3 linked regions of the Drosophila melanogaster genome follow. The protein of the gene in region 2 interacts with the protein of the main gene of each other region in a pairwise test. Each region holds a gene or a part of one and is shown on either strand. Other genes may lie near its edges.

Region 1 (11,797 bases), on a different chromosome or scaffold from region 2:
ACACTGCGTTTGCGACTGATGAGATGACGAGATCTCCATTAACTTATGAGCTATCCGGCTACCAAACGCAGTGAGGATGGTGGAACAGCAAGACGACGGTTTGCCGCGGTTGAAAAGTCAAAGTCAAATGCAAGACATAACACAATAAGACAATCCAGCTAAGAGAAACAAGAGCAACAACGTCCGACCAACACCAGCCATTATAATCGCAGAAAGGAAAACGAGTTTTCACTTTTATATTTTTGAGTTGCGCGGCTTGGGGTTGGGGATATTCATTTCCAAACGCGATTCAATTGCAGTTGCTTGTTGAGTTGCTGTTGTTGTTGTTGTTGTTGGTTGTCGCTTGGGCAAATTGTGGCCATAATGACGAATTGCATAAGCCGGAATCGTAATTATAATCAGTGACTACGACCGCTTCAGTTGCTCATCCGCCATTATGACCATACAGTCCAACTTGCCCAAGTGAAGTTGGAGTGCAGATAGAAAACCCAAATTCCCAGAATCTATAATCGTCGGAGTTGGTGATCAAAAGGATATTAAGTCAACATCCTGCAGGTAGAGCTCTCCTAGATAGACGGTTCGTTCGTTGTAGCCAGGCTTCCCTTTTACCGAACGGCTTGATCGGGCCAAAAACCTGATCGAATGTCTGGCTCTGCTCTTTCTCTTCAGATAACTCGCAGGAGTTGCGGCTCTTTTCGGGGAGCAAGCTTATCGGGCTCGCGAATTACGCGCTTTTAAAAGTCCCCGCACAAAACCTGACCATATAAGGAGTCGCATGGCAACCGACACAACGCACAACAGCGAAGGCAACCAAAACATGAGCAAAACATACACAAATGGCTATTTTCGTAAGGTAGCCAAACAACACAAAGTGCCATGATTGCGTATCAAGCACATGGCCGACGCCCCACCTCATTTTCACCCCCGGCGCACAATTATTGCCCCACCCCGGCAGCCAGAAGCTTTTCATTCATTCACCCAACGCCCGCTGCTCCCAATTTACCCTATAAGTAACGGGATATATCCACTGATCCGTAGGGTCGGCCAAATATTTTACTACATGCCTTTGATCGCCTTATCATCTTCAATAGGATAAGCTTCAATTGAGATAGCCTGCCGTAATAACAGATAAACTAAGCTATCTCCTTTCTTTAAGATAACTCTGTGTTTAAGCAGAGCGCTCTAATGATTTTCATATCCTAGGAAATATTCAAGATGCCTTGGGGTTAAAAAAAAATGGTGTGGATTCTTGAAGTACTTTTAGGCTCGCGTATCTTTAGTTGCGATAGAAAAGTTTTTTTTATTATATTATATTATGATTGCATAATAAATTCAATAGAATAAATTTGGCACTCGGAAATGTACAATTGTGGTTCTTCGAATGATATACACAATTAAATCTTCAATTAGGTTCATTATCGTCATAAATACTAGCTATATATGTACCTTTGGAAGGGTATTCATAAAGCTGGTTCAACCCATTTCCTCTTTATTTTTTAGTTTGATAGCCCGTTTAAGTGGCCTTGCTAGATATTTTTTGTCGCAAATCTAATCCAAATGAAGCGAATACCAGAAATGGGAATGTGTTTTCAATTGGCATTTGCATGTTAAGCTACATATGTAGTTAACCTAATCGTAATTTGAGCAAAAATTGTAAAGCGCAAAAGGAAATTATCTGCTATAATGGCGATAAATGTGGAGCTTGTTTTTTCAGGAATTATACATGGCAATGAATTTAGTTGTGTAACATAGAGTTAGTTGGATTACCCAGTTCATGATGAGTAGAAATCTTTAGAGCATCTGGGCGAATTTAAGTATGCAACATCTGCTGGAATGGGCTTATCCTGCATAAATGCAGGCTTCATTTAAAAATTTTGATGTGTCGGGGATTTTGAGTCCATCAATCAAGCCAAGATTAATAGCCGGCAATCGCGGTTGATAACGTACTTTTTTTTGGTGTCTGAGCTCATCAGTGACAATTTATCAATCATTAACCCAACCCAAATGGGCAACCATGTGATGAGGACGAGGGTTAACAATGCAAAGAGGACAACAAAATAAGCAGTAATTAGAAATTCATAGATAACATCAAGTGAAATTCGAAGCTCATATGGAGACACACCGAAAACCCACTGTATGATGAGGGGGAAAGGGACGGGAGAAAGGGTCCAACAGGGTCTGGGATCCACATACCACATACTCCACCGTGCGAGTGAGTGGGACGGGGCATACGGACATGCTAATCACGAACACAACGAAACGGCACGGACAAAATGGACAAAACAAAAACGAAGAACAACGAGAACAAGAACGAGAACGGGAGAGAGCAGCCCACAAATAAAACCCGATTCGACAAAAAACCGCTGCCTGCTGCCGTTTCTCGGCGCCTGTTCAAATAAGTTTCAAATTTTGACAAATAAAACCATGGTTTTGTAATTTACGAGCATTCCGAGCTGTTTTCATAATGATTGAGCCCGAGTTGAGTGGAGTGTTTGCAGTTCGCCGTTGCCGTTCTCGATTCTCGGGCTCTCGAAAACTCAACATCTCGACAACTCGGGTCGCAGTTCCCAGGGGAGTTAAAAGTACAAAATGCGAAAAACAAAATAAGGACCTCTCCTGTCTCTTATTTATTCTGCTTCTGCTTCTCCTTCTCCAGCCTCCCAGCCGTGCAATAAAACGGGATTATGTACGAGTGTGTTTTCGGTGTCTACTGTTTGTTTGTATATACGCTGGTACAGTGGAAGTTCCCTAAGTTGTTTGTCGACGGAATAGCTTAATTATGACCGTGGTAATAACTTTAACTACATGTATAATTAAATCAATCACATTTATCAAGTGATGCTCCTATTAAGTATTGATAAGTATTTCAAGTTACCCTGGGCGGGGTTTCACTGTGAGCAGTGAGTCCTTCTTCAACCAGTTGGTAGGGACAGGAGGTCGCTCCTGCTGCAGGCTGCTCGGGTGGCGGTTGATGGAGCCTAAAGAAGCTGCAGCCGACGGACGGAATGTGTCTAGACGTTTGATTACCGGGACAGACGCAGACGCAGATGCCGCGAGGTCGTGGCACAGTGGACTTAAACCGAGCTTCGGAATGCCCCCGGTTTGGAATGCCACTTTATTGGGTTTTCGGGCTTGGCCTGACTCCCAGACTCAAGCTGACATAAAGTGTTTGCTTATCAGCTCTTTTTCGTTCCCAGGCGTTGGTTTTGTCATCGGTGACACAGTGGTGTGACGGAGATAATGGGATAAGTGCAAAAATGGGTGGGTAATTAGGCTGGAAATTTATGGCATTATGTCCGAAGAAGATTGGACAATGGAATCAATATAATCCGGTTTTCCTTTCCGATAATTGAACTTCGAATCAGTTTCAAAAAAACACACAAGAATGCAAAACAGAAAATAATTTACCATTGTTATTTGACTATAAGCTAATATCTTTATTATAGCATCTCTCTTATATTTTAATTTTGTAAGAGTATAGGTATAAATATATTCAAAACCCCTTTTAAGATCCTTTTGCATGTTCAGAATCGCCAAGGGTCAAAAAAAAAGTAGAGTTAATATTATATCCGGTTTAGGGGGCTAGAAAACAATAACCATTCAAAACAAGGATCTACGGCAGACAATCCGGTTTGGAGATTACATCATCAGGCCGGTTTATAAGCCCGGTTCAGGTCGAAATGATCAAATCGCATTCCTGAATTCTCCACACACTATCGGTTTTGGGTTCTCGATTCTCAAGGTAACCCGATGCTGGCCAATTCCCGTGACAGGAAAGAAGGCACGTAATCTTGTTCAGGGTTGTTGGAAATCGAAATATGGCACTTTTCTACCTGACTACATTCGACATTTGCGTATATTATTCGAATAGTCGTTTTTTTTCCCCCGATTTCGTCACAGTGCATTAATCAGCATTGTGTTACCCTTTGTTATATTGTTAAGGTGCAAATTTCAAATCCATATTTCTCCATGTATAAATATATATTTAAATTGCTCAATTCCCAGCTGAGTCTGCCAATAGGTTGAGTGTTATTTTATATCAAAGGGCATTCAATATAAAACAATTCAAAACGTATCTGGGCATTTATATATTTAAAAACTGCGTTTATTTATGAGGTTTATATAAAGAAACAGTTTAAGAATAGAAAAATGTAATAAACTTCTGTTACCATGCCGACCATTTGGCACTCATTTAACCACTGTGCCTCTAAAATCAAGGACTCTCGATGGCTGAGCTAAATTTTTTGCACATTTGCGGGTTTCTTGCGCACAATGGTCAAAGGGGCGCGAATCAAACGGGGGCCTTGACTTTTGCACTTTTGGCGAATTTTTTTTACAGCAGGACATACAGCAAATCGGACGGAGGATAAAACAAGAACCAAAAAGAAAGATACAAGGCACAAATACCGAAAGACAAGTAACTCACCACGACGGGGGGTGTCGCCGGAGGTGAAGGTGGATAAACAGGAATTTCTGCCTGTTCTGTTTTGATTTTTCGCTATCTCTCTCTTTCGCTCAGCTGCTTCTGCTTCTTCGGTTTGTTTATGTGTAATCCTTTTGTTTCTTTCGATTTTGGCGCGCAATTTTCCTTTTTTTTATTGCTATTGTTTTAGTTGTTGCTAATTACTAATTTGCAATGCAATTTTTCAAAACACGCGAAGCCGTTTTGTTGTGGCCGTTGTTATTGTTGCGTTGGCCGTGTGATTGCGGTTATAGTTGTCGTTGCGTTGTTGTTGGTTGTTGCTAGTTGCTGTTGTTGCTTTTGCAACTTTTTCACAATTTGCATTTCACGTATTTTTGCAGCAGCTTCGACGACTTTGACTTTGTTGCACAAACACAGGCGGAAAAACGGCCACACACTAACGAACTGAAAACAACAAAACAATCCGAGGAAGCTGCTGGCGTCTCTTTTCCTTCGATTTTTTCCCAAGATTGCCAATCCGATTTTACTGCCTGATTTAGTGTACTTTCGCGAATCTATAGTTATTTCCGCAGCCAGTCATTCAAAAACGAAAATGTAAACGAAACAGTGGGTTTACATTAATATATCATCACATAAATATGGGTTTTTTTGAATCCCAAAAGCATCTCGTGTTACTTAGCGCGACAAATCGGTTTCCGACGTATACTCGTTCGCTGAGATGTTATTCCACAGTGGTATTTAATTTGTTTTTACTCTTCATGCGAGGAAAGCACCGTACGCGCACGCTGCTCAAAACGGAATGAAAACAAGAGCTGTCGCATCGTTTCAGCCGAAAAATACCGAAGCATGCTGAAACTTCGAAAAATACCGCAAGCGAGAAACGATGTTTTTTCATCTATGGCAAGTCGACGTCTATTACCCTTTCGATTAATAGAAATAAAATATTGCATATTTATTGAAGTAACGAAGTTTGTTGCATCCCAGAGTTTTGTTAAGGCATAAATAAAGTTCCATAAGCAATTTAAAGACTATTTAATTAAATTGATTTCTAATTGGCATATGAACGAACATTTATTGGTCGTCCAGTTTAGAGTACATATTTATGTACAAATCGAAGTAAATTTTTTATAATATTAACGCACGGTTTATCAATGGCACAAACCATCAGCGATTCCCAAGCCATCCATTTTTAGCTATGTTATAGCTATAGAAAAAGCAATCACAAGCAAAATTAAAGATAATAAACAATATTAAATTTAAATGGCCTGAGAACAGTGGAATGCATTTTTATGACAGGCTTTCGAACTCCGTACATAAAGTACATTTACCGTACCGACCCAACAAAGAAGTGGCGCCGATAAGCACAATATTTAAAAACCGATAGGCACACGTTATTTGACTTTTTGTCTGCAAAAGCTTTCTCGTTTTAAGGAGCTTTGATTTTGGCATCACCTGCAACAAAAGCGGTTTTCAGTTTAGTTAGCCTCTTTCTCACAAACAAGTCGGTTGTTTTTGCGCTGTTGGAGGAGTGAAATTCTTAGCCGCGCTATTGTTTTTGTTGTTTGCGTGGCGTTGTGTTTATAACAATAACAACAAGTGATTATCACTGGAAGACATGTTCTGTTCAAGTAGCTAAGCATATGGCTGGCTAAGAAAAAAAACACAAGGGTTATAACCCTTTTTTGGCCGAAATACGAGACTGTCCTCCGGGGTTACTTCATTCGGTCTGTTATTTTGGCCACCTCCCAGTTCCTTCAAAATGGTTCGGTGGAGCGCGCGGTCGCGGCGCCAAGCTCGCCAGGATAAAGTGGAGCTATTGGCCAGAAACAACAAAGTGAATGGCGAGGACGATACCTCCGATAACGGTACGTGCCAGGGGTGTCCTCAAAAGGAGAATTTTAAGCGAAGTTCATACGAAATTCCAAACTATCATTTTATTGTTGTTTCTTTTTCCTTTAAGGCTCTGTTAATAAAGTTTTAATTTTGAAGATTTCAGTTGTTTAAATAGTTAAAAGATTTACAAACTAAATATTTCAATTCATATTCAAAAAGTGAAACGAGACAAGAGTTATGTTGCATTTCAGTAAGCCTGCTTGAAGTAAATATAATGATTTGTACTCATAGCTAAGAATAATCTGAAACCTGTTTGAAGATATGCGGTCTTTAAATGTATTTACAATAAATCGATAACAAAGAATATGATTATAAAACGAAAAATCAGATGCATGTATATCTAAATATTTCCCTCTAGAATTCCATCATTGTATGAATTGTATGAATTGAAAAGGGTAGCATTAAGCTGCCAAAACGAATGTCATTTCATCTGTTTCCGATTGTCATTTAACGACTGCGATTAATCTAAAACACTTTCGCTCCGTTTTAGCCGCCTTTCGCAACTCGACTGACCTATCCGACCACGATGAGATCTTCCTCAAGGGATTGCTGCGTAGTAACTCCAACACGCCCCACAAGGAACTGATGGCAAGTAGACCAGAACATATAAACGTAAAAAGGCGAGAGAAAATATCTCTGTACAATTTCTGACCCACTTAAACGCCTTCGAGCATCTGCTCAATAAGAAAATTGCGCATACGGTTTTCCACCCATTTTCCATACCCAGCCACACACACGCACACACTTTCCACATTTGTGTTTACTTCATCGATGGCATTGCATGCTGATTTTTCGGTCTAGATAGAATTTTCCGGGCTGCTTGTATGTGCGTGTGTTTGCTTTTCTTATTACATCATTTTCCTTGCCTCCACAAGCGCCAAAAAGAAAAGAAAATCCTTCTGTATTTTAAAAGATTTTCTCGCTTTAGCCATGCACTGCAATTGTTTTTTTTTTTTTTTTTGACTTCGTAATGGCCCATTAGCACTTGCTATTTTATTTTTGCCTTCCTCTTTTGAGTTTTCGCACTAAACTTGACCTCTATTGCCTCGGCAGATGAGTTGCCTTTATGCAGATGGGAGGCATTTTATTAGATCATCGTGACATAACCATTGAAGTGGAAATTATCTTGACCCGACACATTTAGCGCCTCCTCGAAGGTTTCTTACGGTAAAAGAACTGCCAAAAAGTTTGTAGCCTAATCAAATTGTAAATATTATTTGCTGTTCCTGCGGCAAACACGCAGGTCAACTAGAAAAACAATGAGAGGCAGTTACAACCAAAATTAAAACGAATTTGTTGTGCTCTGTATACAAGAAAAATAACAAAATATTTTAATTAATTTTTAAAAATTAATTTTCAAAATTGAAGATGCCCTTTCTAAGATGTAAAGTTATTCTGTTGGCGAATAATAAAGAAGTGGGGAATTAAATAGTATGTAAAAAATAGGCGTAAAACAATGATTATTAAGACCCAAACTAGCAGTACGGAAAAGCCAAATACAACAAATATTATGGAAAGCGACATCGTGTGACGACGACCATAATTAGAATCCAACATTTTCCGAGGCATTTTCCTGGGCAGGCTCATTCGTTTGTGGTTTTCTGCTGTGGTCGGCGGCTGTTGAGAAAGGCAGTGAAAGTAATTAAGCCACGAGTCACGAGATAAGAAAATATGAAATGTCACTACCAGCTCCCCTGTTTTCCTTTCCCCAACTCGCCTGTCGTCACCGCTCCTTGGAACACTCCCCCATTTTATGCAGATTACATAAAACTCGACGCAAGTCGCCGTGCCAACTCTTTGACATCAACGCCCCAAAGAAGTTGTGTGTATTTGAGTGTGAATAAGGAAACCGGTTTGGAAACATTTTCCAACGTAAACACTACGCTTTTTATGCTACCTGCGCTCGAAAACGATGCACAAAAAGCGCCCAGCTCGTTGGCCTACTAATGCAGCTGTGGTCGGGAGATCGAAAAAGCTTGCTATAAGATGCTGTTAAGATCACTGAAGTAGTTGGTAAAAACATTGCAAAGCATGTTATAGCCAAACTTACTTATTTAAGGTTCTGTTTTACTGAACAAAGTATAAAGCTAGTTAAATAAATATGTTTCAGCAACATTTGAATTATAATATTTGGAAAGCTAAGATCAGATTATTTAATTTCAGTATAACATTTAACAGAACATTTTAATGTTGGTTATTGTTATATTTTAGATATACCCCAAGTATGTACATATTTGTATTTTAAAAAGTTTTCTACAGTTTCAAATGGTTTTCATTAACAGAAAGAGAGGGCGCGTCACTGCTGGTTTTAAGTCACTGTTAAGTACAAGCTAACATGTGGATAACAGACTGCGTACAGTTGTAACTTGGCTCACGCGGAGCTTTTTTCACGGCAAGCCAGCGGCAAGCGAACTGAGCAGCAAACAAAGCTAGCCCTAACTTGCTCACTAGCTCTCGCCGCTTGCTTCCATAGCTCGTGAGTCAGTTAGTTGCGAACAGTGCTAAGGTGAGGTTCACATTCCGGTTTGAAACGCGCGCTTCGTTGGTTTCGGCCCATTCGAATGAGTGAGCATTGGTGCCTGACTGTAGTATAGGTGTTTTCACGGTGGTGTTTGTGAGCGTGGCTTAAACGGGCGGCTTGAAACCGAAAAGCAACAGTTAGTTGGTGCTCTCTCTGCCCTCTCTCTTTCGAATTCAACAATGTTCATAAACCATTTTCCGTGTGAAAATTAATAAGCCCACTTCAGGTGCTAATTACGAATCGATCAATATTATTGTAAAAACGGAAAAACGAAAAACTGGAACAGTTATTAGTGTGTTGTGCTAGTGCCTTGGTAACCCCGCTGCATAAAGCTTTTCCGAGCTTGAATTGATGACGTAGTCGCCGAGAACTGTTTTGTAACCTGGCCAACAAGCAGTAACTGTCTTGGCCATGCTTTGGCATTTCCAAAACCCCAAACTCCATACTATGAAACTCAAAAAGAGTGGCTCTCTCCACACGCACACATATGCACGACAAGCGCTCATCAGCGTTTTGGGAGTGGCTCCAAAAAAATAAAATAAAAAACAAATAAAAGTCAACTAAAAATATGATCAACTGTTAATGTTATTGCATACTTAATGCCATTAAGGTCTTATAACTTTATCTAGTTGCTTTGGTTATTTTAGGTTAAATATTTCACAGCCACAGCCTTCGAATATGAAACAAATTCGCCACTTGTTTACGTGTGTCTAATTATCAGCTTGCTTAATTAGTAAGCACCTGTTGCGGTACACAATATTTTGAGGCAATTTTAAACTGACGTTGTCATGACGAAAACATTTTGCAGAGTGGAGGTGAAAGCCCAGGCCAAAGTATCAATAACAAATGTGGGTGTGTGGTGAAAAAGGGTGGGGACTGTCTGTCGCGTGGGGCTTCTTCACAGTTTTTCACACGGAAAAGGGCTTAGCTAGCGAAAATCCGTAGAGCGCTGCGGAAATACGATCTTCGCTGGTTCGATAAATAAACAAACAAAAGCAGTCGGGATTACTCATCCACAAATATATTTAAATGCGATCAAAAGCTTATCTTGGAATACCATATACATATATCCAAAAGTATATTTTTGTTTTATGATAATGAGTAGTAAGAAAACTTCCAATCACTCATTCAAAAGAGTTTTACATAGCTCAAAACTCACACTTATTAAGCTATAAATAGTAGTTGGAAATTCCATTCAGTTTTATAGAAACAAACAACTGACAAGTTTCCCAGAATAGAGTTCTTGTGCAGAGAATGCATTCCTCTCGCTTTCTGCTTATCAATTCTCCGGCGATAGTGACGCTCTTCGGATTCCAGAGAGCGGAGAAGAAAAGCCATCCCACGCTAAATTCGCATAAATATTGCATGAGCTGACTCAGATGACTTTCCCATCGTGGGCGGAAATTGCCGATGGGCCCAGAATAAATACAATGGACGCAAGAAGCAGGGAATAACAAACGCTGTAGTTGTAGACAGGGACAAATGGAGCCGGAAGATGAAATTATGTGCAATTAAAGCAGAAAACTCACTTTTCATGCGACCCAAATTCAAATGGCAAGCGACCCAATTTTTGACCTAAGACTCCACACACTGTGTTGTCAGCGTGGACCTGAGTTCACCCGGGGTTAAATGGCATGACATATGTACATGTATACATATATATTGAGTACATGGAGAGCCAGAGAAGTCTGCCCAAAAGCTGGACCAATTAACGCACTCACTCAATTAAGTCGGAGGCATCTTAACTTGACCTAGGGCAGGCACGCCCAGACGAAGAGCTCTGAATTTAATTAGCCGCACATGACGAACTCATCTCTCCGCTTCTCTGCCATTCCAGCTGAATCCGACCGAGCCGCAGCCAGTGCCACTATTCCTGCCCGCTCATCTGAACAACAAGCCCATCTGCGACGACATCATCCGCAAGTTCTCACCCTCGAGGCGCCTGGAGTCGCGAGAGCTCGCCAAGCTTCTCGCCCAGCCGCATTTTCGTGTAAGTAGCCAGGGAAAGTCGTGGCGAAAGCCTCTCTATTTGGCTAGTTAGATATGAAAAACTCAGCAAGCAGGATATAGTATGGAACACGTGGATCTGACCATCCGAAACAAACGATTTTCTTGCATCTATGTATGTTTCTGAGATGCACCTAAGATATTGTATCTTTGGCTCCTTCTGCATCCGGTAGCTACGTAATTGTATATCAGTTGCTGAGCTATCCAACATTTAAAACAAACACCAGCCAGGCAATATCAAAAGTTTTTATTGAGACTGCTGTCGTTTCCTTATTGCTGAGTAAGGTCTGCCAAGAAGGCAGAAAACGTGCTCTTGATATGTTTGTTTTTTTTAAGCCATAGGCCCATCAAAACATGATGCACCCTTTCCATTAAGAGATGAACCATGCTAGTATAGACATTGTTTTAACAACTTATGTATTCTTCCTTCAGGCTCTTTTGCGCGCCCATGATGAGATAGGAGCACTCTACGAGCAACGACTTAAAGCTGCCGGGGGATCCACCAGCCAACTAGAGATCGCCAGCCAACGCCAAACGGGAGGCTACCTGTTCACCGAGGACGTCCTCAACACCAAGATGCCAGTGGAGACCATCAAGATGGTGGGTCTGCGCCGAGATCCCAGCAAGCCGCTGGGCCTGACCGTCGAACTGGACGAATTCAAGCAGCTGGTCGTGGCCAGGATTCTGGCGGGCGGGGTGATCGACAAACAGAGCATGCTGCACGTTGGCGATGTCATCCTAGAGGTGAACGGTACGCCCGTTCGCACTCCCGATGAGCTGCAGGTGGAGGTGTCGCGGGCCAAGGAGAATCTCACCCTCAAGATCGGGCCGAACGTGGACGAGGAGATCAAGAGCGGTCGCTATACTGTGAGTGGGGGTCAGGTAAAACAGAATGGCATCGCGAGTCTCGAGACGGGCAAGAAACTGACGGTAAGTTCGATGTTTGGCTTGAA
Region 2 (9,878 bases):
TCTGGTACTCATGGAGGGCTTGTCTGCCTTCCTGCACACCCTGCGTCTCCATTGGTAAGTCACCTAATCCTCGAGAAGTATGAAATGGTATCTAATTGAACGGCTTTCTCATAGGGTCGAGTTCCAGAGCAAGTTCTACAAGGGCCAGGGTTACGCCTTCCAACCCTTCTCGTTTGATGCCATCATAGAAAACGGAGCTGCCGCCGCCGAGGAGTAAATAAAGCGGAATATCGGTCAGAGCAACAACCAAAGCACGTTGAGAGTCTCATTGCGTTATATGAAATTAACTATCCAAATAAGTGGAATCTACCAGTTACAGTAACAAACATATATGTACGTTTTAATGTTTAATTGTCGTGAATTTATCTATGTATGTATATCGTATAGCCCCAGCAAACGTTAGATTGCTAACAATATTTAATGTTCTTCGTAGACGTTCTCCTGTTTATTAACTATACTTGTAAACTCAAATAAATAGAAAAGGCTAACCCCTTGGGGTTGGCACCAAAAGAAGCTTGCATTTGGGAATGCTTATTGGGAGTCAATGGGACATCAGCTGATTGATGGCGGAAACGAATTTGCTAAGATTTTCCGGTTTCGTTTCATAGGGCTTTAAGGCTTCAAAGTCCAGAGTAGCTAGCTGGGCATCCACGTCGGTAACTTTGCAGTAATACAGATAGTTTTCAGCGGCCAGTTGCTTGGCCAACTCCAGTTGATGATTGTCCATGAGCGTGTCATTTATCACAATGAGTCCAGGTTTCTGGTTATTTAGTATATCCATGCAAGTTCCGGCTCCCGCATGTCCAATAATTAGGTCTGCGGACTTGATGTCCTCCGTATTTGGCCGGAAATTGTACTGCTCTATCTGGATTCCGTAGTTTTTTCTTATCAATTGTATTTCATCGTCTGTTAATGGTTGCGAATTTCCGTGCTGTATGACGAGTTTGGTGCATTTCCGGTTCTGTAGAGCTTTGAGTGCGGGTTCCGTGGATGCAGTTGATATTAGAGCATCGAATTTGGTGGTACCAACGGTAATGTAAACAGTGTTCAAATGCATTTTCTGTAAATAGTTAAACAACAAGACACAGCTGTTACGAGTTGTGCTTCCTCTTCGCCTTTGCCATTCAGCCGGCGTAACTCATACGACGTTCAAATAAATGGCAGCCTGGAAGCTCGAAACACCGGCCATAACCGTTACTTTATCTACTAGGAGTGCAGTAAATAAGTAAAAAGAGTAGTGAAATAGTTTTAAGCAATACTTGTTTAAGCAAAATGCTTAAATTCAATTTTAAACGTAAGTATTCCGCTTTCACAGCGCTCAGTTTATTTTGCTCTCACGCAGCCAAAGTGCGAATTTGGCGCACGCGATCGCCATCTCGCTCATTGTGCTTCCATTCCATTTCCATCGCAGCTTGTTTATTCCGCTTATTCAGTTCTCAACCGTTAGCCGTTACGGTTGTGCCCGCGCTCGTCGGGAAAATACGCGAAAGAACTGTGCTCCGTTTAGTGATAGTCCCTTGGCAAATTGCATTTTGATTAGTTTGGCAGCTCGGCCTTAGTACAAGTGATTTGTTTACATTTAATTCAATTAATTAGGCGTCTGCCAGGCTGCCAACAGTGTGTGCGCGCTTGTGTTGGTGACCGACCACAAATCAGTGTCGCGCCAGCGTAACGGTAAAGGTGCGAAAGAGTCCGACAAACGGTTTTCCAGGACGGAGGTGAAACGGTAAATTAAATTATTCCCACGTTTCGAATGCTGCGTATGTGTGTGTGTGGGCGATTTGTGCGTGTGTGTGCACTGAGAAAAATGCACTGGCATGGCGATCATTTTGCACCACCATTAAACTAAAAATATAAGTACATTAAACGATTTGAGCACATTTCTTTTTGTGCAGTGAAAACGCTTCAAGTACTTAATTATCCTAGGTGCACAAGTAATACAACAATTTTAATATCCATTTGCCATGTGCGTTTCGCTTTGATATTTCTTTCTCTGCTTGCCGGCTGCGGTTTGCACGTCGGAAGGTAATTGACTAATCAACACTTCGTTTAATTTCGTTTTTATATCTGCACCCTCCCCATTTGTTTATTTGGCAAACGCTTTTCAAGTTTGCCTGCCATCTGGCAGCGATTAAAATAAAAAAAAAACAAACACTTTTCTAGCCTCAAATGCTCGATATTACGAGAACAAGACGCTCACGCAGGACCCATAAATTAGCCAGCCAGAAACTTTCCTTTCCTTATGATCGCCAATTTATGGTGATCTCCCGCTTATTTACTAGTCAAATTTGCAGAAATCATCTGGTACTGCCCCAAAATTCAATTAGAGCACCCGTGCAAATTATCGAGTTGCCCAGCGATCGGTTATTCTATTTTTCCAACACCCCAGGCCCTCGGTTCCACCCTCCAGAATACACACCCACACACTTACACACGCGTGGACCATCACTCAACGGTCAATAAATTGGCGCTCTCTTTTTTTCTTGTTTTTGGTTTTGTTTTTGTTTTTGTTTTTGTTTTGATAGCGAGTAAAAGGCCGCGCGATTTAAATTTAATGTCTTAATTGTGGGCGTGTGAAGAACCAATATTTACTTGTCTCCGCTGTCTCTTGATTCCCTTTTGCTTCCCATATCACCCCCCCCCCCACAACTTTCCCAATGATTTGTCAATATTCGCTTTCCCACTCGCAGGCGTTCATGTCCTTGTGTTTATTAACTGTCTGCACTGTGAGAAAACCGTACATTCTAGTCCTATAAAATTGGTTCCACTGATCAAAATGAAAAGGTTCACTTTAAGCAAAGTTACATATGTCCGATCTAATTAGTTAGGAATTTTGAAGATTTCCAGCAAATAATGCGTGAATCGAAGTGTACTAGCCTTATCCATCGCCATATGCTGACACATCGCCAGCGGCTTACACGCAGTTTATCAATGAAATATTGCTATAAATTGGATCCCCAACGAGCGCGAGCGACCCAGGGATACGGACCCCATGGAGGCGGGATGGGATGGGCGGAGTGGGCTGAGGCGGATGGAGGCGGCGTATCATTTGCAGCCTTATTTTAATGAAGGTCATCGAGCCAGCGACGGGGTTGACTTCTGTACATGGTTGTCGGCGTTTAATTGCAGCAATTTGCAAAAACAGCAGCAGCAGTAGCATCATCAGCCGAAGGAGAAAGAGCAGGGAGCTGCAGATGCTGCAAATGCTACAGAAGCTGATCAAATTAATGCCATAACTCAATTAGCCGGCGGGCGTATTTGCATGAATATATAAGTTGATTTACGACAATGTTGTTGTTGCCCGCTCAATTTGTGCTTAAACTTTTGCCAATTGATAATAGCGCTGCTCTACGAGGAGACATCTGTGTTCAGCTACAATCTGAGAGGCTGCTGAGGAAACTCGCTTTTAGTATATAAAGTAGTCCCAAGAATGGGTCCCCTGGGCCATTGACATCGCGATAGGAACGTCTTCAATCAGACATAGTAATAGTAAACCGAAATGTATAGCTATTCTAGCAGATTATTTTTAGAGCATATACAAATATTCCTTTCTTCTTAATTTAAATGAAACTTTTCCCACTTTCATTGACTAAAATTCGACTTTCCCAATATCGTACTAATTGTTAAGATCACGATCGCGATCTATTAACATGTATTTATAACGCTCTTCCTATTTAAAAATAATTCCTAAGTTATTAAGTGTAAAAATCAATTATCGCCTTGCTTTAATTTACGTCTAAAATCATCATAATTGTGTGGGTTGCTTTTGGATTTGATACGGGGAATTGGAAATGCCCTACGCATATTCCAACTCCAGCAACAACTTCTGAATGGGAAATATTGCGAATTTAAATATATATTTCAGTCGATGACACTGGCAGTGGGAAACACCCTTCCCATCCAGCCAGTTGCAAGTGGCTACCCAACGGAGCTCCACTAAAAAACCCGCTAGGTGACTTAAGCTTATATTTAAGTCGCCGCGTAAGCCAGCCATTAATATTTTCCAGTCTTAGTGGGTGTGTTTCATTTTTACAATTGAGCACGAGCACAAAAACTAGGTAGTATTCCAACCCTTTTTCATATAAACCTATTAATGACATTAATCCTTACATCAAGAACAATTGCTTCAGATTTTTCAAATACTTTACCCAACCAGAACCAAGCGCTCTTGGTTTAAGTAGCGTATAACAACGTCTTTATCGACTAAGATATTCTGCTGGATAATACATCATTTTGCTTATTACGTGAGCAATGATTTTTTGCTACTCGTTGTAAAATCATACACTTGTTTTCCCCATCGACGATGAGCTAATGAATCAGTTACGTTCTCTACGACCCCTTCTGAGCAGCAAACTAAACGGTCTCCTACTCGAAAACCGCAAGCCCTGTTCGCAAGCCCCTTCCTGTGGCTTCGCTTGTCAGCCACAAGGACATGGCTCATGCCCAATTTACGCAATTTAATCGAAACACCAGATAGCCAAAGGGGTTGGCACCGGACCAGAGAAACCACTTAAGTGGAACCCCGAGATTGCAGAATGTGCAACCTGCAGTTGGATATCATATTACTTGGGCTCATATTGAAAGCTACAGCGGAAGTGGTTGTGGAAGTGGTTGCCCAGATCCTTCTTCCTGTTTATGAATTGGGAACTGCATTTACCTTATTAGGCTACGACTTAATCTTCCGTTTTAGTTATTGGTTTATGTTCATCATTATAAAGTTTGATTCATCTTCTATTGCAGCCATCATGGTCGTTAAGGAGATACCGCTCCATGAGAATCTGAACATGGAAAGCCGACCCATGAATGCCGCTACGCCCACCACTACCACCACGTTCTCGAAAGGCGGGCGTCGCTACAGTGTGTCCCTGACCACCGCCATTCTGCTAGCCTCCTTCTTCATCTGCACCCTGCTAGCAGTGGGCTTTATTGTCTACAACTTTGCCACTTGCGCTGAACTGGAGCCCGATTCCGATGAGGATGTTGTTTGCACCAGCTACCATTTGAGGAGGCTAAAGGCTGGACATGATGACACACCTAAATACGATAGAGATGTCCGCCTGCCGCACTCCATCCGCCCGCTTAAATACAACATCACAATCGAACCGCAGCTCAGCGGCAACTTCACCTTTGCCGGTAGTGTTCAGATAAGGATAAGGGTGCTGGAGGATTGCTATAACATCACTATGCACGCTGAGGAGCTGAACATTTCGCGTAGCGACGCCTCCGTCCACCGAGTGCAGAACAATGGTGAACCGGAAGGCGACGGTCTGCGGATTCACAAACAGTACCTGGTGGGGGCCAAACAGTTCTTCGTGATCGAGCTGTATGACAAGCTGCTCAAAGATGTGGAGTACGTGGTGCATCTACGCTTTGATGGCATTATCGAGGACTATCTGCAGGGATTTTACCGCAGCTCCTACGAGGTGCACAACGAGACAAGGTGGGTAGCTTCTACCCAGTTTCAGGCCACAGATGCCCGACGAGCTTTTCCCTGTTTCGATGAGCCCGCGCTGAAGGCCAACTTTACGCTGCACATCGCTCGTCCTCGCAACATGACCACCATATCCAACATGCCCATTGTGTCCAGCAACGATCAGTGAGTATTGCCTTTGCTATCAAAGTAATCATTCTATTTAAGTGTAATCTTTGATCTTCTTAGCGCCACCATGCCAAGCTATGTGTGGGATCACTTTGCCGAATCGCTGCCCATGTCCACCTATCTGGTGGCCTATGCCATATCCGACTTTACGCACATCTCATCCGGTAACTTTGCCGTCTGGGCTCGAGCGGATGCCATCAAATCGGCCGAGTATGCCCTGTCCGTTGGTCCCAGGATTCTCACATTCCTGCAGGACTTTTTCAATGTAACGTTCCCCCTGCCGAAGATCGACATGATTGCTCTGCCAGAGTTCCAAGCGGGCGCTATGGAGAACTGGGGTCTAATTACCTTCAGGGAGACTGCAATGCTTTATGACCCAGGTGTAGCCACGGCCAATAACAAGCAACGAGTGGCCTCGGTTGTGGGTCACGAGTTAGCCCACCAGTGGTTCGGAAACCTGGTAACACCGAGCTGGTGGTCGGATATCTGGCTTAACGAGGGGTTTGCCAGTTACATGGAGTACTTGACGGCCGATGCAGTTGCGCCCGAATGGAAACAGTTGGACCAGTTTGTGGTTAATGAGCTGCAAGCAGTGTTCCAACTGGATGCCCTTTCCACATCCCATAAGATCTCGCACGAGGTGTTTAATCCGCAGGAGATTTCGGAAATCTTCGATAGAATTTCCTACGCCAAGGGTTCAACTATTATTCGCATGATGGCCCACTTCCTCACAAATCCAATTTTCCGTCGGGGTCTGAGCAAATACCTGCAGGAAATGTAAGTCCTTAGAGAATGATAACCGATTTATACTCGTATATTCTAAAATTGGGCCGCTTTCAGGGCTTACAACTCTGCAACACAGGACGATCTGTGGCATTTCCTTACCGTTGAAGCCAAATCCTCTGGGTTGCTGGACGACAGCAGAAGTGTTAAAGAGATCATGGATACGTGGACGCTGCAAACTGGCTATCCGGTGGTTAAGGTGTCAAGGCATCCCAACTCCGATGTGATTCGTCTGGAGCAGGTCCGCTTTGTGTACACCAACACCACCAGGGAGGATGAGAGTCTCCTGTGGTACATACCCATTACGTTTACCACTGACTCCGAGTTGAATTTTGCCAACACCCGTCCGACTACATGGATGCCGCGCACCAAGCTGTACGAGCTGGAGAACAGGGAACTCTCCTTGGCCAAGTGGTTCATTTTCAATGTTCAACAGACAGGTTACTACCGCGTCAACTACGATCTAGAAAACTGGATGGCGATCACAGAACACCTGATGGATGTGGACAACTTTGAGGACATTGCTCCTGCGAACCGTGCCCAGTTGATCGATGATGTGATGAATCTGGCCAGAGGTTCTTATCTGTCCTATGAAACCGCCATGAATTTGACTCGCTACCTTGGCCATGAATTGGGCCATGTGCCGTGGAAGGCGGCCATCAGCAACTTCATTTTTATCGACTCCATGTTCGTCAACTCCGGCGACTACGACCTTCTAAAGGTTTGCTTTTAACCATTGGGCGTGCTATAAATATTATTTGACATTTCTGATTCTCACAGAACTATCTGCTTAAGCAGTTGAAGAAAGTCTACGACCAGGTGGGCTTTAAGGACTCGCAGGACGAATCAGAGGACATCCTGGTGAAGCTGAAGCGTGCCGATATTCTGAGCATGGCCTGTCATTTAGGTCACCAAGAGTGCATCGCGGAGGCGAGCAGGCACTTCCAGAACTGGATGCAGACGCCGAATCCAGATTCAAATAATCCGTAAGCAATAAACGAAGTAATTAATACACTCAACACAATTCCAATAAATTATTACTTCCTTTTCAGCATTGTGCCAAATCTCAGGGGAGTCGTTTACTGCTCTGCGATACAATACGGCACCGAGTACGAATGGGACTTTGCTTTCGAGCGCTTTTTGAAGACGAACGTGCCTGGGGAGAAGGATTTGCTGTTGAATGCACTTGGCTGCTCCAAGGAGCCCTGGTTGCTTTATCGTTTCTTGCGTCGCGGCATTTCCGGACAGCATATCCGGAAACAGGACTTGTTCCGGGTATTCGCAGCAGTTTCCACCACGGTAGTGGGCCAGAACATAGCCTTTGATTTTCTGCGCAACAACTGGCAGGAGATCAAGACCTAGTAAGTGGCGAAATTGTCGCTTTATTCCGTGCATTACTAAAGGGTTTGCATTTTTTCCAGCATGGGCTCACAGATGTCCAGCATCCACACGCTGTTCAAGTTCGCCACGAAGGGCTTCAACTCCAAGTTCCAGCTGGGCGAATTTGAGAACTTCGTGAAGGACGCCCACTGGGACTACGACAGACCCGTGCAACAGATCGTGGAGCACATCGAGACCAGCGTCGACTGGATGAACAAGAACTACAAGTCGATCGTGCGGTGGCTGGAGAACGAGGCGCAAGCGTAAGGAACGGATTCTGCGGCTTGGCTGGATCAAGGCTGCAGCAGTATTAGATTTCGCAGCTGCAACTGCATGGGTTGGGCCACCAATGCATTTATGTGTAATATTTATGTCGCGTGTTTTACCAATTCAGAGTCGCCAAAGAGAGAAAGCCCTTGGCAGATCGTCCAGAGCATCACGTTTTTCATTACTTTTAATGTATGCCTTCTTTTCATAACAATTATGAGTCTTGTAATTTTAATTTGTACTTAAATGTAATTGTAAATGTAAATGGAATTATAACATTGTTCGTCACAAAAAAGTTTTGGAAAGCCTATTCCTGTTTCACAGCCTGGTTTTTTCATTTCGGAACTCTGATCACATTTGCAAACATCAAGGTGCCCACAAAGACTAGCGCGGTGCCCAGCCAGTGCCACCAGGTGAAGGGATTTCGGAAGTATACGATCGAAAAGACCAGCGAGATGAACTTGCGGAGTGTGAGGATCAGAGTCACCGTCAGCGAGCTGCACTCCGTGGTCAGGGTGTAAACGGAGCTGATGCACAAATGCTGCGCAAGCACGTTGCCCAATAAGTATAGCAGGATTAGGGGCACTGCCACGCCCAGGAGGGGCAACTGGTAGGACTCGCCCGTGAACGCCAAAAGCCAGTGCGTCCGTATGTCGTCATGCATGAGCAGGAAGGCGGGCAGCGGCAACAGGTGGGTGTAATACAACGCTTCCCTGGCGCACTTGCCATGACGTCGATACAGCAACTCCTGTGTAATTCCCATGTAGGAGGAAACAAATAGAGCCAGCACCAAGAGTGCCACGCCCAACAGCCACCAGAACGTATCCGCCTCGGCGCCACTATCCAAATTCTCCATCTTACCCACCAAATCCGGACTGGAGAAATATGTGCAGACGAAAATGCCCACGCTGATCATGAGCACCGATATGTACTGACTCAACCGGTAACTCCTCTTCAGGATCAACGTGCACAGGCACATGTTGGAGATCAGCGAACCGCCGCGTATGATCATGTGCAGTGTCATTGGAACTTTGAACTTGAACACGTAGTTGTTGCATACGCTGGTCAGGAAAAACATGGCCACGAGGAGCGCATAGTCGCGCAGGCTGATCACTCTCTGGGCCAGGCCAAACTTCGAGGTGAAGATGAAGCCCTCGAGGGCAATAAATGCAAACTGGGCGCCAGTTATAAGGTTTCCAGCGCCGGGATCCAGTTTAACCAGGAGCTCCAAGAAGACGACGCCACTGCAGCAGCCCAAGAAAACGCCGCAGATGGCCGAAATAGCGCGGATGGATAAATTCATGAACTCGCGCAACGAAAGTAGACGATTCCCACCAACTTTAACCTACGATCTGGGCCATGACGAGCTTTTAAGCCAACTTACTTTCTCTTCGGCCATACAAAACGTAAACAAATGCAACAGGTGGTTATCGATAAAGTTCGGTTCGGGCACAGCTGATGTTGGTCTATCGAAAGTGGTTGAAATTCAAATATTCCAAGCGAAAAAGAAAAAATTTATGATTTTAAGAGAAGAATATTTTATTTAATGTACATTACATTCAAAACCAAACTTAAATATGTTGCCTAATCACATTCGAAATATTCGCACCAACAGTCTTTTACAACAATTACAAAATACAATGATGACAATGCTAAGAAAGAAATTACAGATTAGCAAATTAATGGTATATTACTTATTTTTCCTTTTCCAGCAAGGCAATAATTTTGTTTAACTTTTCCGTCTGCTGGGCCTCGAAGTTGTCCAGTCTCTTAGACACTAACAGCGTCAGCTTCTCAAATCTCATGTCGATGTGCTCCTTGAGGATTGCAACATCGGTGGAAGGCGGTG
Region 3 (11,952 bases), on a different chromosome or scaffold from region 2:
TGGCATGTCCAAAGGTCAAGTTAGTGAGGTTCTGCGGAAAGACTATTGTCATTAAAGTGAATTAAATGAAGTTGAATCTCAACCTGTGGCGTCTGATCAAGAAGGTACGTAGATTGTATATCTTTTCTGGCGAGAGATTGGTTTCCGAGCACTATAAGTGAGTTTGCCGTGTCTCGCAGGACATTTGTGACCGTCAGGGATCCGCGGATGGTTACCCTGCCCGTGTAGTACTGTTGAAGACGTTGTTCCATTGGATCGTCGAGTTGTCTGGGCTGTGGCTGCCACTTGCTCGTATTGCCCACAAAAATGTCACCCGAAACACTCATCTGATTGATGCGAACAGGAGCTGAAAAATATGGATTTGTTAAATGATTTAATGGAATATATCAAGGAGGACACTAACTTTTTATCCATGTATCATTGCTACCGCGATGAAGTACATCGTGGGCAAAGTCAAGTCCATTTACTTGCTGAGCCTCCAAACGCGGAGCAAAGAAGGCGGACATGTAGATATTCGAACTGATCACCTGGGCACGCCGCAGATTAAAGAGACGATCCACCACGAGTCCGTTGAGCAGAGGTGTCTTTAGACTGTTCACCCGGACTCGCGATTGCATAACCAAGCGTCCTTCTATCGAAGTGTCACGACTGCGCAGGAAGAGCGAGTCCAAAAAGTCGTTCCACTGCACTCCGTTTATCTGTTCCACTCGGAGATGACGAACTACACATTCACTGCCACTGGTTTCCTCAGGCGCAATCTGGGCACCACTGGAGTTGCGGAAATCTTGGGGAGTAACCAATTGATTTACCCTAAGCTTTTTCGTCTGCAAAGGACTGTTTCTGATGGTCAACATAGGTGGTTTTGAGTTATCCAAAATGTGGCCTGTAAATTAGGAAGAAAAAAAAGATTTATATCATATTCTATTCCTGAATTCCCATACTTGCCTGAAATTAGCTGTCCCTTGTAGATAAGATTGCCCACGCGCAATCGTCGCGCTTTGAGTGTCTCCGGCTCATCGTTCTCGTTTCCTGTCCCAAAAGAGCGTGTGGTTCGCCTGGTCTGGATCGCTTTAAATCGTTGACGAAGTTCCTCCAAGCGTTGCTTTAATTGGGTGGGCGTGCGCAGATGTTCGTCCACCAACTGAAGTCTTCCTATTTGTCCTTGCTGCACTAGATGCAGTGGCGTGTCGAGGTGGATGGCCGATTTGCGTTTTAAGATGTCCACAATGTTTCTCAGGTTTTCTGTAGAGGAACGACGGCGCAGCAGGAGGCCACGTAAGGCATTGATGGACTCCTCAAACTCGTGACGATGCAATTGGACAACACTTAGATCTGTAAAATCACTAGTTTCAAATTTCCACTACAGAGTTATATTAAATGTACCTTCATCTGGAGCAGCGCCCACTTGGTTGGAGATTTCTTCCACGCCACCCAATTGCACAGTTCGGATCAGATCACTCGAGGATCTTCGATAGGCCAGCAAAAGAAAGGTCTCATTGTGCAAGTTTTTATGAATAAGTAATCCACTTGGATCCGCTTCTCCAGCCACCTGAAATCCACTATAGCAATCCAGGCGAGTGGAGCTGAAGACGATCACCTCGCCATTGGCACGGGCACCAATCAAAAGGTGACCCTTTTTGGTGGCACTCAATCGACGGAAACTCAAATCTTTTCGAGCATGCTTTCGGTACACCACAAATTGTCCATCCACCATTCGGAAGAAAATACACGAGGCAGATGCAGAGGAAGTACAGGCGATGAGGCAGTTCCTCCCGTGAAATCTAACAGCTTGGACACTTTGCGCCTGAACTGTCAAAGCCTGGCGTTGTTGCAGGATTCGGCTGTTTCTATCCAGCTCGTAGATTGTGAGCACCAGCTAGAGGGAAACATAAATGAATTAAGAACCATCTAAATTATTAAAAGTTATATCACCTTTGACTGGGAACCCTTTAAAGAACGACCAAAAATGATATAAAGTGGCTGACGACCAACCACTTGGAGAACGCGAATGGCGGGTAGAGTGATCTCCTCGAGTGGATTAAAGTAGGTGTCCAGCCACTCAAAGGTTCTGTGAGGAAGTCGTCAATATTATGAATGAATAATGAATCAATTTTTAATTGAAAATGTATGCCAATCCCAACCTGCATTTGCTGTGTGATCTGGTGTGATTGGAGGCCACTAGGAGGAGCACCTGATCTCCACTGGGTTTCAAAAGGTGCAGCTGTAGAAAAGCACCTGGCAGCGAGAACTCCTGGAGGGGCTCAAAGCTCACCTGTGTGGCTGGATCTTCGGATAGGAGCAGTTCCTTGGGCAACTGGTAAACCTCCATGGAATCATCCAGAACGATGGCAAGGAGCAGGAACTCCCGCCAGGCCACAACCTCTGCTCCGAGAGCTCTGCGACCACTGACCTGGCCCGCCAAGTAACCAAGCGGCACTAGACGCCTCTCCCCAGTGGCCACGTGCAGCTGAAAAATCTCGTGTCCATGGAGCAGTAAAAGTAGATCCTCTTCCGGTTCGCGGAGCACAAAGAGTGGCTTCTCATGGCGCACCATCATGTCCACAAAGGGCAGACGGATTTCCGGGCCAGAGCTACTGCCATTCAACCCATTGCGACAGGAACTGGGCAGCAGCTGGGCAGCACTCGGATCTCCAGCGACTTCTGCTGCTGATAATTCACTTTGTACTTGGGCGATATAGCTATTTAACACTAACACACTAAATAATGCTGCACACACGCTTGGCGAAATCATTTCGCAAGGATTGCAGGGACTGTTGTATCTAGTGATACTAAACTACAATGATATATTCAATCCATTCACATGGCACATTACTTTTGGTGTGCCATTTCTCTTGTTCGTAACTGTAAACCAATTTATACTTCGTGAGAGAGCTCTAGTATAACTGTAAAATGAAAAGAAATACTGTGAGTGACGGAAAGCGCGCGAAAGACAAAAACTCATCGAACAGTTGTTGTTATTCCGTTACAGTGGAATAAACAGAGTTACTATATGTAGAGTGAAATATGTATATTTTTGTAGTTCCTGGTTTTCCGATTTGAGTTCTCAGCCTGAATGTAGGCAACGGAAAGTGCTTTCATTTGTGCGCTCAACGAGCATTTTTCCCATGTGTCGCATTAGTTTTCCCCGATTTTCTCGGCACTCGTCAGTCAATCCGCGTCTCTCCGTCCTGCTTTCTCCGCCTGCAGCAGTGACACCTTGGACTGGGAATTAAATTTTTCGTACGGGGTTGGGCAGTGGGGAATGGGGCATATAAGGCTGGGGATCTAAAAATAAGGCAGACAAACTTGGAGAGTGCCTTCGACGTTTCTGCTGAATCAATCAGCTTCGATCATTAGTCGAGGTCATTAAAGACATTAAACCTCGAGCCACCAAAAAAAAAAAGATAGAAAGGAAGAGAGCATTTAACACGGAAGAGGGAATCGCATAAAAATAAATTTATATGTACGTATGTATGCACATACATACATATGTATGTGAAATATTTTGGGGGCGGAATGGGCCTTACCAAGTCACCCATAAATCCGCAGCTTTAACCTAAAAGGTGGCCACATTTGTACTTGCAGTTAAATCGGATTTAAGGCACATATAAATATGTATTAATAGGTGTACAAGAGGAAAACGGTATTCATGTCATCGCCCTCGGGGTCAGGATTTGGGGGCATCCGTTGGGAACACCCGCTGAAATATTTACTTTGCCCAAAATCTGATTGATCGCAGCATTGACATGTTATGCAAACAACATTCCAGTGTAACGAATATACAATTGTAAAATAAATAAGAGCAAAACATACAATCGGATGTTAAATTGAGGTGAACTTAAAATTTTGTAGATCAAAATTGGCTTTTATGTTTTAAACTTTCAAAATGTAACTTTCCTGAATGCCCTTTTAAGTTTGTACCATTTCTAGTTGGCTTAGTGCATGGCTAATACCAGCTGTTGGTTTCAGCAGATGTGCTCACTGGTTGCGTGCTGCCGATTTGGTTCATTTCATTTCGGTTTTTGTTGTGTCCTGTTTCTGTTGACCATTTCGAGCAGTTGCCGTCGCGCTTTTCGTGACTAATTAGCAAATTCGCGACACCCGTTTTGGGAGCATTTTTTTCTGCGTTCGTTGTTTGGCGTTTGGCGTCACAGGCCAAAACCCAAGTCACCCCTCCCCCAACACACTAAACCATTAACCATTTCGGACTACCGCTTAACGGTTAACAGAAGCAGCTGATTGTCATGCCTGCGGCTCATCAGCGGGCTCATAACGGCGCTTTTGGAGTGGCGGTCTGTGATTTGAGTGCCTCCCCAATGGGATACTCTTCTGCCAGAGAGAGGACGAGAGTAAGAGCGAGAGAAAACTCTTTCTCCAGTAGCCAAAACTCCCCAAAAAGCGCTCCGCTTACGCACCACTCTCGCTCTCCTTTTTCTCTTCCTTTTCTCCTCGCGAGTGAGTCACGCAGCTAGAGCTAGAGCTGGAAAAACATCGATGCTCGTCGCCGTCGATGTTTTCGATGTTTTATGGCGAGAACATTGACTATCGAAAAATAAACGAAAAATATTACTCTTTCTGTTCTTTTTGTGTGCATTCGTATTCGTATTAATAAATATGAAAATTAAAACATACAAATATATTTTATTATTACTTATTTATTTTCATATATATACATACACACATTTAATACGGGTTATACAAAAACTTTCGATTAACTATTATCTACAAATTTATCTAAAAATATAAACTCATTTGCAATAAAGGATTCAATAACAAAATTCAACATCAAAGTTAACAAAAATGTTCTGCAACATCGATACTATCGATGTTACATCGTTAATTCTACCACCTCTAGTACTGGCGGCAAGATCGCTCATTGTGCAACTTTTGGCCGTGCTCCGCGGACGTGCGCGCATCGTCAGGTTCAGTCGCATCGCAGTCGCCGTCGCCGCCGCAGCCGTTGAATTTCCAAATTGTTTTCGAATTTCCCGATATCGATTGGAAACCGAATTCGTTTTTAAATTTACTTTACCTTTTTTTTTTTTTTAAATATACAGTTTTTTTTTTGTGAAAATGCCAAATTTGCCATGAGTGTTGAAAAATCGTAGAGATCGCTGCGTTTTCCCATTTGGGGAGAAGTTGGAGAAAAGAAAACTCAAGATGAAACTGTGGAAATCGAAGAAGCCCATTGGTGGCTGTGTGCCCGGAAAATCGGCCGCCCTAAAACAGGACCAACAGCAGCAACAACAACAGCAACAGGAGTCGCACAACAACTCCTTCAATGGACACCATCATCCGCCGACGGACACTGCCTTGGCGCCCATGTTATCCGGTAAGTGATGGGGCTTTCCCAATCTTCGAATTTTCCAATTTTCCCATTTCCCCCAACCCACTTCCTTCCACAGCAGATAGCCAGCCAAAAATCATCTAAAAGCGCCCAACATGTGCGCTCCCATTTTCCGCTTTTCCGCCTTTTCGACTTGCCGACTTTCCGTCTTTTCCCCGCCCGCTCAGGGTTATCGCATTTCCGCCCAAGGTGCTTGCGTTTGGCCCTCAAGTGCTTGACTTTAGATATAGATTTGTATACAAATATCCGACGGTGTGTTTGCATCTCTATATCCAAGTATCCAAGCATCCAAGTGCTGTTGAAAATATAGTTTTCGCTCAGTGTGTGCTTGTGGGCCAAGACAATGTTTGACATTTTCAATTGAAAGTAATTGCTCGCATTTCGTTTTCATTTTCCGATCGCTCGAAATTTGTCAATTGCAACGCCCCTTCCCTCAAAGAAATAAAGAAACCCCCCATGGAGCCGATGGAGCTGGGTGACCTGACCCTTGATTACCCAGCGATTGGTTTAATAGGATCAGCAGGCAGTTTGATGGATTACCCGGCCATCGAATGGCAATCGAATTGGATTGCCAAATCAGTGAAGTTCAACGGTTCGCTGCTATATTGCTCTATATATCATGACTAATTGGAGCTGATCAGATAAGCAGATGATCAGATGCATTTCCCATCAATTGAAGGAAGACCTAATTGAATGGATTGCGCAATCTCAAAGAGAAATACCGAGAATTTGGTGTACCTATAATAAATTAGCTTGGAAGAAAAGAGTATCAGTTTCGCCCACCTCCATGGCTACTGTTTCAACTTTGACCTATCATAAGTTGAGATCTAGATAGGACACCCCTTTTTGAGGATCTTAAAAGCCGTTCCGCGAACGCTGTTCTCTTTTTATTTTCAGCTTTTCCGTTGATCTTTCGCGGATTAATGATCTAAAAGTGCCGCCAGGATGGACGCGAGGAAAAAGGCGGCTGGGATTTATGCCAGTTAAGGCATTAGCGGCGTAAAATGATGGCCCAACTCCAATTGCAACTGCAGTTGAACTTTCCAATGAATGAAAAGGCCAGAAGAGAAGGAAACCAGATACCGATGTGCTATGGGTGAAGTAGAGAAGCGCAGGAGATACAAAAGTATCTGCATCTGTTCGTGTGCGCGGGCTTAAATTGCATTTGATGAATTTATGGCATGGCAAGCGTAATTAAGCATTTAATTAAATATTTCTGATGCTCCGCATTGTTGTTGCTCCAACTGTTGCTATTGCTGTTGCTGTTGCCCCTTTTCATTGCTTAATTTTCTTGCGCGGAATGCCACAGATTGTATCTGGTAGATAAGGCCAAGTGCCTGGCCAGAATGCAGCTTCTGCTGGTGGCAGTTGGTCGATGTGGATGCGCTTACTGGGCCAGACAATCGTCAATTGATGCCAAATGACTAGATGAAGTCGTACAGCAGTGGTCAAGATAATAGCAGCTTGAATAGGTTTAGCTTAAGGCTTCATTATAATTGGTCTTGCTTAGTTTTCAAGTGTATGCATAGTGGAAGCTTGAAGGCCTTTCGAGATTTATTTCCCTGTTGAAACATAACATTTGATCTCCTATTGTTTCGACCCCCTGTGTAAACCTAATGGCACGCACGTTTGTATGTAGATGCATCTGCAATTGGTGGCTGTGGATGGTTGCCTATCCGAAGGCAAACAGAGGCGTGTACTCATCCAAAAGGGGGGGATCAAAAAGGGGGGAGGATGACCAGATGTCACTTGTTTACACAGTAATGACAGCTACAACAGCAGAAACAACAACTGCAGCGATTGATTTGACTGCTCATTTGACTCCCTCGAATGCAAACAAAGGCCTGAGAATATCGAAAGGTGTTCAATGTCAATGCACCGAACAGCCCAAAAACATCGGGCCCAAAATCAAACAGATGACAACTCCCCCCAATTGGAATCGAAAAAAGAACCCCTCACTCTCTTGTCCACTTTTATGGCACATTAAGTGCCCATAAAATCAACGACAAAACATTGGAAATCGTAAAAAGAGTTGGAACTACTCGAAAAATGTCGAAATGATATAATAGATCAACAGATTATACTGTCAGCGTTGACAGGCGGGCGATGGGAATACGATCTAAATTTGCATTGCTTCCCAAGGATTATTTCGGTAAAATAATACCAAAATAAATTAAAAAAATAAAATGCTAGAACATCTTAGACATTTTTTTTTTGATTAAATGACATTTGTCTTGGCAATAAATTGATACATTTTCACGGTGATAAATAAATGGTGAAAAAATGCAATTGAGGTCAGAGTTTCATCTTTTTTGTGATGGTCGAATCGAAAAAAGATCACGTCTGACATGGAAAATATTTCGAACTTATGAGGCGATTAAATTTATGGAATTTTGATGATTATTACAAGAGGTCCAATGACAAAAATCGGGAATGAATTGATAGTGGATAATTCCTTCTGTCTTTTACATCTACCATGTGTGTTCTTTTCTCAGATTTTATGCGATTTTTCATTGCATATGTCGATTTTTTATGAGCTGCATTGAATAAATGCTTGAAAGACAAGTAAAACGCCAAAAGAAAATGGGTCGCGTTCTGTCCTATCTATTTGTGGGTTTTTCCTTTGTTACTTTTTTATTACCAGTAAATTGAAGTGTTCGAATTTTACAACTGATTTGAAAGCAATTGTGATTTAACCATTTATCTGAGGGTATGTGAATTTTTTCTTTTTTACGATCGAGGGGGAGTTTTTAATTCCAAATGTTGTTCGCAACATGGTGTATTTTTTTTTTAAGTCCTTTCTATGCTTTAAGTGTTAGTTTTAAGTTTTTTTTTTTGTTGTGTATGCTTCTGTTTTGCTGCAATTTCCGAATCGTTGGCGACATTTGACTGCTGTTGATGGGTTTATTTTACTCCCTGGGGACGCACATCGCTCCTCCCGATTTTAAGCACCCTCGCCTTCGGGGATTTCATGCCATGCAGCAACAATAAAAATTGGGAGTAGGTTCGCTCATCCAGGGATTTTCATAATTCCCGGTCTATTTTACTATTTGTACTCCAAGGAATTGGGTGATATGTGATGGATGGAATGGGGTGAGATTGGGGAGTTTGGGGAATTGAGTGGATGGTTTAAGGGCGTCAGAGAAAAGGAGCGGGTTAACTCATTGCATTGTTGACGACGACACGAAGTCTATGCCTGCTTGGGTAAATATTCAAATATGTGTCCCTACACATGAAAAAATTTACATGTGCAACTTCGAAGGGTATGAAAAGTATAAGTATAATAAATATTGTGTTTAGGTTAGGGAATATAAGAGTTGTAGAGCTTCGAAAAACATTTCAATTTTCGGGTTCTTGGGAATACTTTTTCTCAGTGTAAGATTGTCGCGTCACTTCCCTGCTTTGTGCACCCCCCCCTCCCCCTTGCCAACCGTCCAGCTGCACTTTCCCATTTGTTTTTGGGCGTTCCCCCCACCTTTTCCCACTTTTCCAATTTTCGTGCCATGTGCGTAAGAGTTTTCTCCGCGTGTGTGCCCGTGTGCGAGTGTGTGTGTTTATTTTTTCGCCACATTGCGGCCATTGAGTGTAAACAAAAAGACAACAACAACAACGGCACGGCGGACATGGGCGCTGGGGAAGGGAGTCCGAAGTGCGTCGAAGGGAACTCAACAATTTGACGCAATTAAAAACAGTTGGTGCTATTTATCAGAGTTGGTCGCACAAGGGGGATTGGGAAAGAGAGAGGGTGTACTAAAACCCCCCTGACTTAAACCTCTAATGGAATTAATATAAATTAAAGCTCAAAATAAAGATAAATAAAAAATAAAAGAGAAATAACTATGAATGAATTGATATGATGTCCTTAAAGATCCCTTCTATAGCTAACTCAGCCTACGCCACTGAGCTTTGAGTGTTTTGTTTTCGAGTGCCAAAGAAGAGTGCTTCTTTTGTTTTGGGAGGCGTGAAAATCCTTTAGGGCCCCCATATCATAAAGCTGCCAAATCAAACGGAAGCGACGACGGAAGAAGCAGCACGTAAACAAAGCGAGCTCCAGGCAAATGACATTTGTGCCTGTTACCTCTTTCCCAGCCCCACCGTGCACAGTGGGCCGTATGGGCACAATAGCCACAGTGGGAAGGAATGGAATGGAATGGGTTGGGTTGCGGCTGGAATTGGAGTGGAATGAAATGGCAGCAGCTGCTGCCAACTGATAACTCAAAAGCAAAGTTCCGCCACAATAACTGTATAAAAGTTCACTGCACTTCCGTTGAACTCCAGTCGCTAGATGGAGGCACACCAACCAGGGTTCACTGTAGTCCACTGATTTAATAGGGATATTTCAATTCGAATGAAAGCGTTGCAAGTTAATGCGCAATTTGTAGAAATCAACTGAATGATATTCACATAGTACTTTAGAGTAAGCATAAGCATGTAATTATTTTCCTTTGACTTCCAAATGCATCGTGTAACTTTCCAATTTCCTCTAGCAAAAGTTTCCTTTCTCCGACATGTATATTAAATTTTTAATGGTTTTGGCATATATTCTAGCAATTTGCTGCAAAAATATATTCATACTTTCGGGCACTTTTCTTTTGAAGTTTTTTTTCAATTCTCGCCTATTTTTGACAATTACTTTGTGCATACCCAGAACCAATTTCGAACCAATTTTATGGTCACTTTTCCTTTGTGTGGTCTCCTCCTGTTTGTAAACAAATTGCTGGTCCTGCTGCTGTTGTTGTTGTTGTTGATGTTGTTGCAGTGGCATGTTGCAAACATTTTGCTGCCATTTATTTTTGTTTAATTTTCCTATTGCTGCCGCGAAATCTGCCACAACGACGTCACTCGGCAGCAAACATAAGTCGAGACAGAGAAAGAGAAAGGGTAGGGAGAAGGGGGGAGAAAATGAGAAATGGAGATGCAGACAGCAGGGGAATCACACATTTTAGATACACAAACTGATATCTACAGTAAAGGTTCCTACAAACGAACCATCTTTAAAGATAAATCAATTGAGTCTTGAGAAACAAGCCATAGAGTTTGCAAACTTATTTTTAAGAAAACTATGAATAAACAGCTTTTACCTATAGTTTCCCATAATGTTTTTTATGACTTAAATGCAAATCGCATAGCTTGAATGTTCACTTTGGAATTGAAAATACATTTATTTTGTAGAGCCGCCGAACAGACGCTGTCCTTTGTGTGAGACGGTCCACAATGCGCACGATCCGCGGCCCCTTTTCACCGCTTTTCCTGCCAGCCTACTCCATTTCCCCAGCCATTTTCCCCATTTTCCGCTGCAACCAGAAAATATGCGTAGTGAGGGAAAATGTCACAATTTCAACGGCTGATGGTGCAGCGCAGTGTAAAAATAGCAACAAATACTGAAAATAAAAACAACAACAGTCATGGAGCCATAGGCGTGTGCCAGGGGGTTAAAGGGGTTTCAGCAACCCCTCCGAAATCGGTATATGAAAACAGTGAAATATTCATTTAGTTGGCACCTAAGGTGCGCCCCTTAAGAAAACCCCAACTACGCCACTGTGTTCAGCACACGTTTAATATAATTTGTTGTTGTTATTGTTTGCGTTTGGCTCCTTTTGTCGCGTCTACAACTTGCATTTTGGATTAATTTGTAAAGTCTGCTGTTGGATGACAACCGCTCGCCCGTCTCTGTCTCATTAGGCTTCCCTCTCTGTTGCATATGCACTGCAGTTGCCATAATTATTTGCCTGTCTACCACCACCCACCGCCCGAGCAACTTTTCAACTTTTCCACTTACCACAACTGGCAAAGCATTTTCCTCACCCTTCTCAATTGTGTGTGTGCAAATATTTGTGGTCTTTCATGTTTGCCTAATATCTGGCATTTTCTTAAATTCTACCATCATACAACATTAAAGGTTCTTATAAATATTTACCACCACCAATCAGCAGCAACCCTTTAATAAAGTGTTACTTTACAACAGATAACTCCCTTATCGTGCAATCAATCAAATTTCATAACGATCGAATTACTTTAATGAGTTGCAAGTACGATTAAGTGGACGTTGGTACTCCCTGTTGAATGCTGATGATGCTGTTCACTTCATGGGAAATTCACTTTCCGTTTCGGGAAATTGGGAAATTGGATTCCGGCTATCCCAGTGGATCGGTCACAGTCTCATTATGGGCGGCATAACACTTCATTTCATCTCTCATAACCGCCAGCATTTGCCCCATCCCCCATTCCTACATACTCGCATATCTCATCCTATGAATAAATATCTTTTTACTGGTGGCCCTTTAATTGAATTTCGAGCTACAAATTTGTATGCATCCTCCCCGAAACAAATTTAACGATGTTTGTTTTTTCCCAATCACTTTCTGCGTGAAGTACTAAACTAAAACCGAAGCGTTATCGTGGCGACTTTGTCAACGGTAAAATCTCAATAGAGCTATCCAAAAGCGGACCTATTTTCATTTCGGGAAGTTGTTTGTGCAACAGAATACCCTGTCTTATCATCAATGGAAGATTGGTTGGTTTTGTGCGTGAGTTGCCAGTGCGGCCGGGGATCGGTTACGGGTAATTAACATTTTGGGGCATAAATCTGGGGCCCCTTACCGATA

The links.
Region 1: the proteins of Alg13 (region 2) and vari interact in a two-hybrid assay, tested with the Drosophila melanogaster proteins (one large-scale study listed by BioGRID).
Region 3: the proteins of Alg13 (region 2) and Grip interact in a two-hybrid assay, tested with the Drosophila melanogaster proteins (one large-scale study listed by BioGRID).

Annotation. Positions count from the first base shown.
Region 1 is NT_033779.5:20,791,144-20,802,940, reverse strand, and holds the start of vari (varicose), read left to right. Parts: upstream 1-5,898; 5' UTR 5,899-6,182; coding exon 6,183-6,288; intron 6,289-6,806; coding exon 6,807-6,904; intron 6,905-7,685; exon of another isoform or gene 7,686-7,933; intron 7,934-8,002; exon of another isoform or gene 8,003-8,135; intron 8,136-8,794; exon of another isoform or gene 8,795-8,881; intron 8,882-10,674; coding exon 10,675-10,827; intron 10,828-11,276; coding exon 11,277-11,774; intron 11,775-11,797.
Region 2 is NT_033777.3:29,137,470-29,147,347, forward strand, and holds Alg13 (Alg13 UDP-N-acetylglucosaminyltransferase subunit), read right to left. Parts: upstream 1,105-9,878; 5' UTR 1,058-1,104; coding exon 542-1,057; 3' UTR 501-541; downstream 1-500. Other genes in the region: Vha100-1 (vacuolar H[+] ATPase 100kD subunit 1), read left to right, coding at 1-54, 115-217; superdeath (suppressor of ER stress-induced death), read left to right, coding at 1,273-1,294, 4,741-5,596, 5,660-6,376, 6,440-7,103, 7,163-7,368, 7,435-7,743, 7,804-8,029; CG14511 (uncharacterized protein), read right to left, coding at 8,364-9,332; CG11882 (uncharacterized protein), read right to left, coding at 9,724-9,878.
Region 3 is NC_004354.4:5,961,406-5,973,357, forward strand, and holds the start of Grip (glutamate receptor interacting protein), read left to right. Parts: upstream 1-4,873; 5' UTR 4,874-5,160; coding exon 5,161-5,332; intron 5,333-11,952. Other genes in the region: fs(1)M3 (female sterile (1) M3), read right to left, coding at 1-31, 84-346, 404-883, 946-1,332, 1,384-1,876, 1,933-2,068, 2,142-2,752.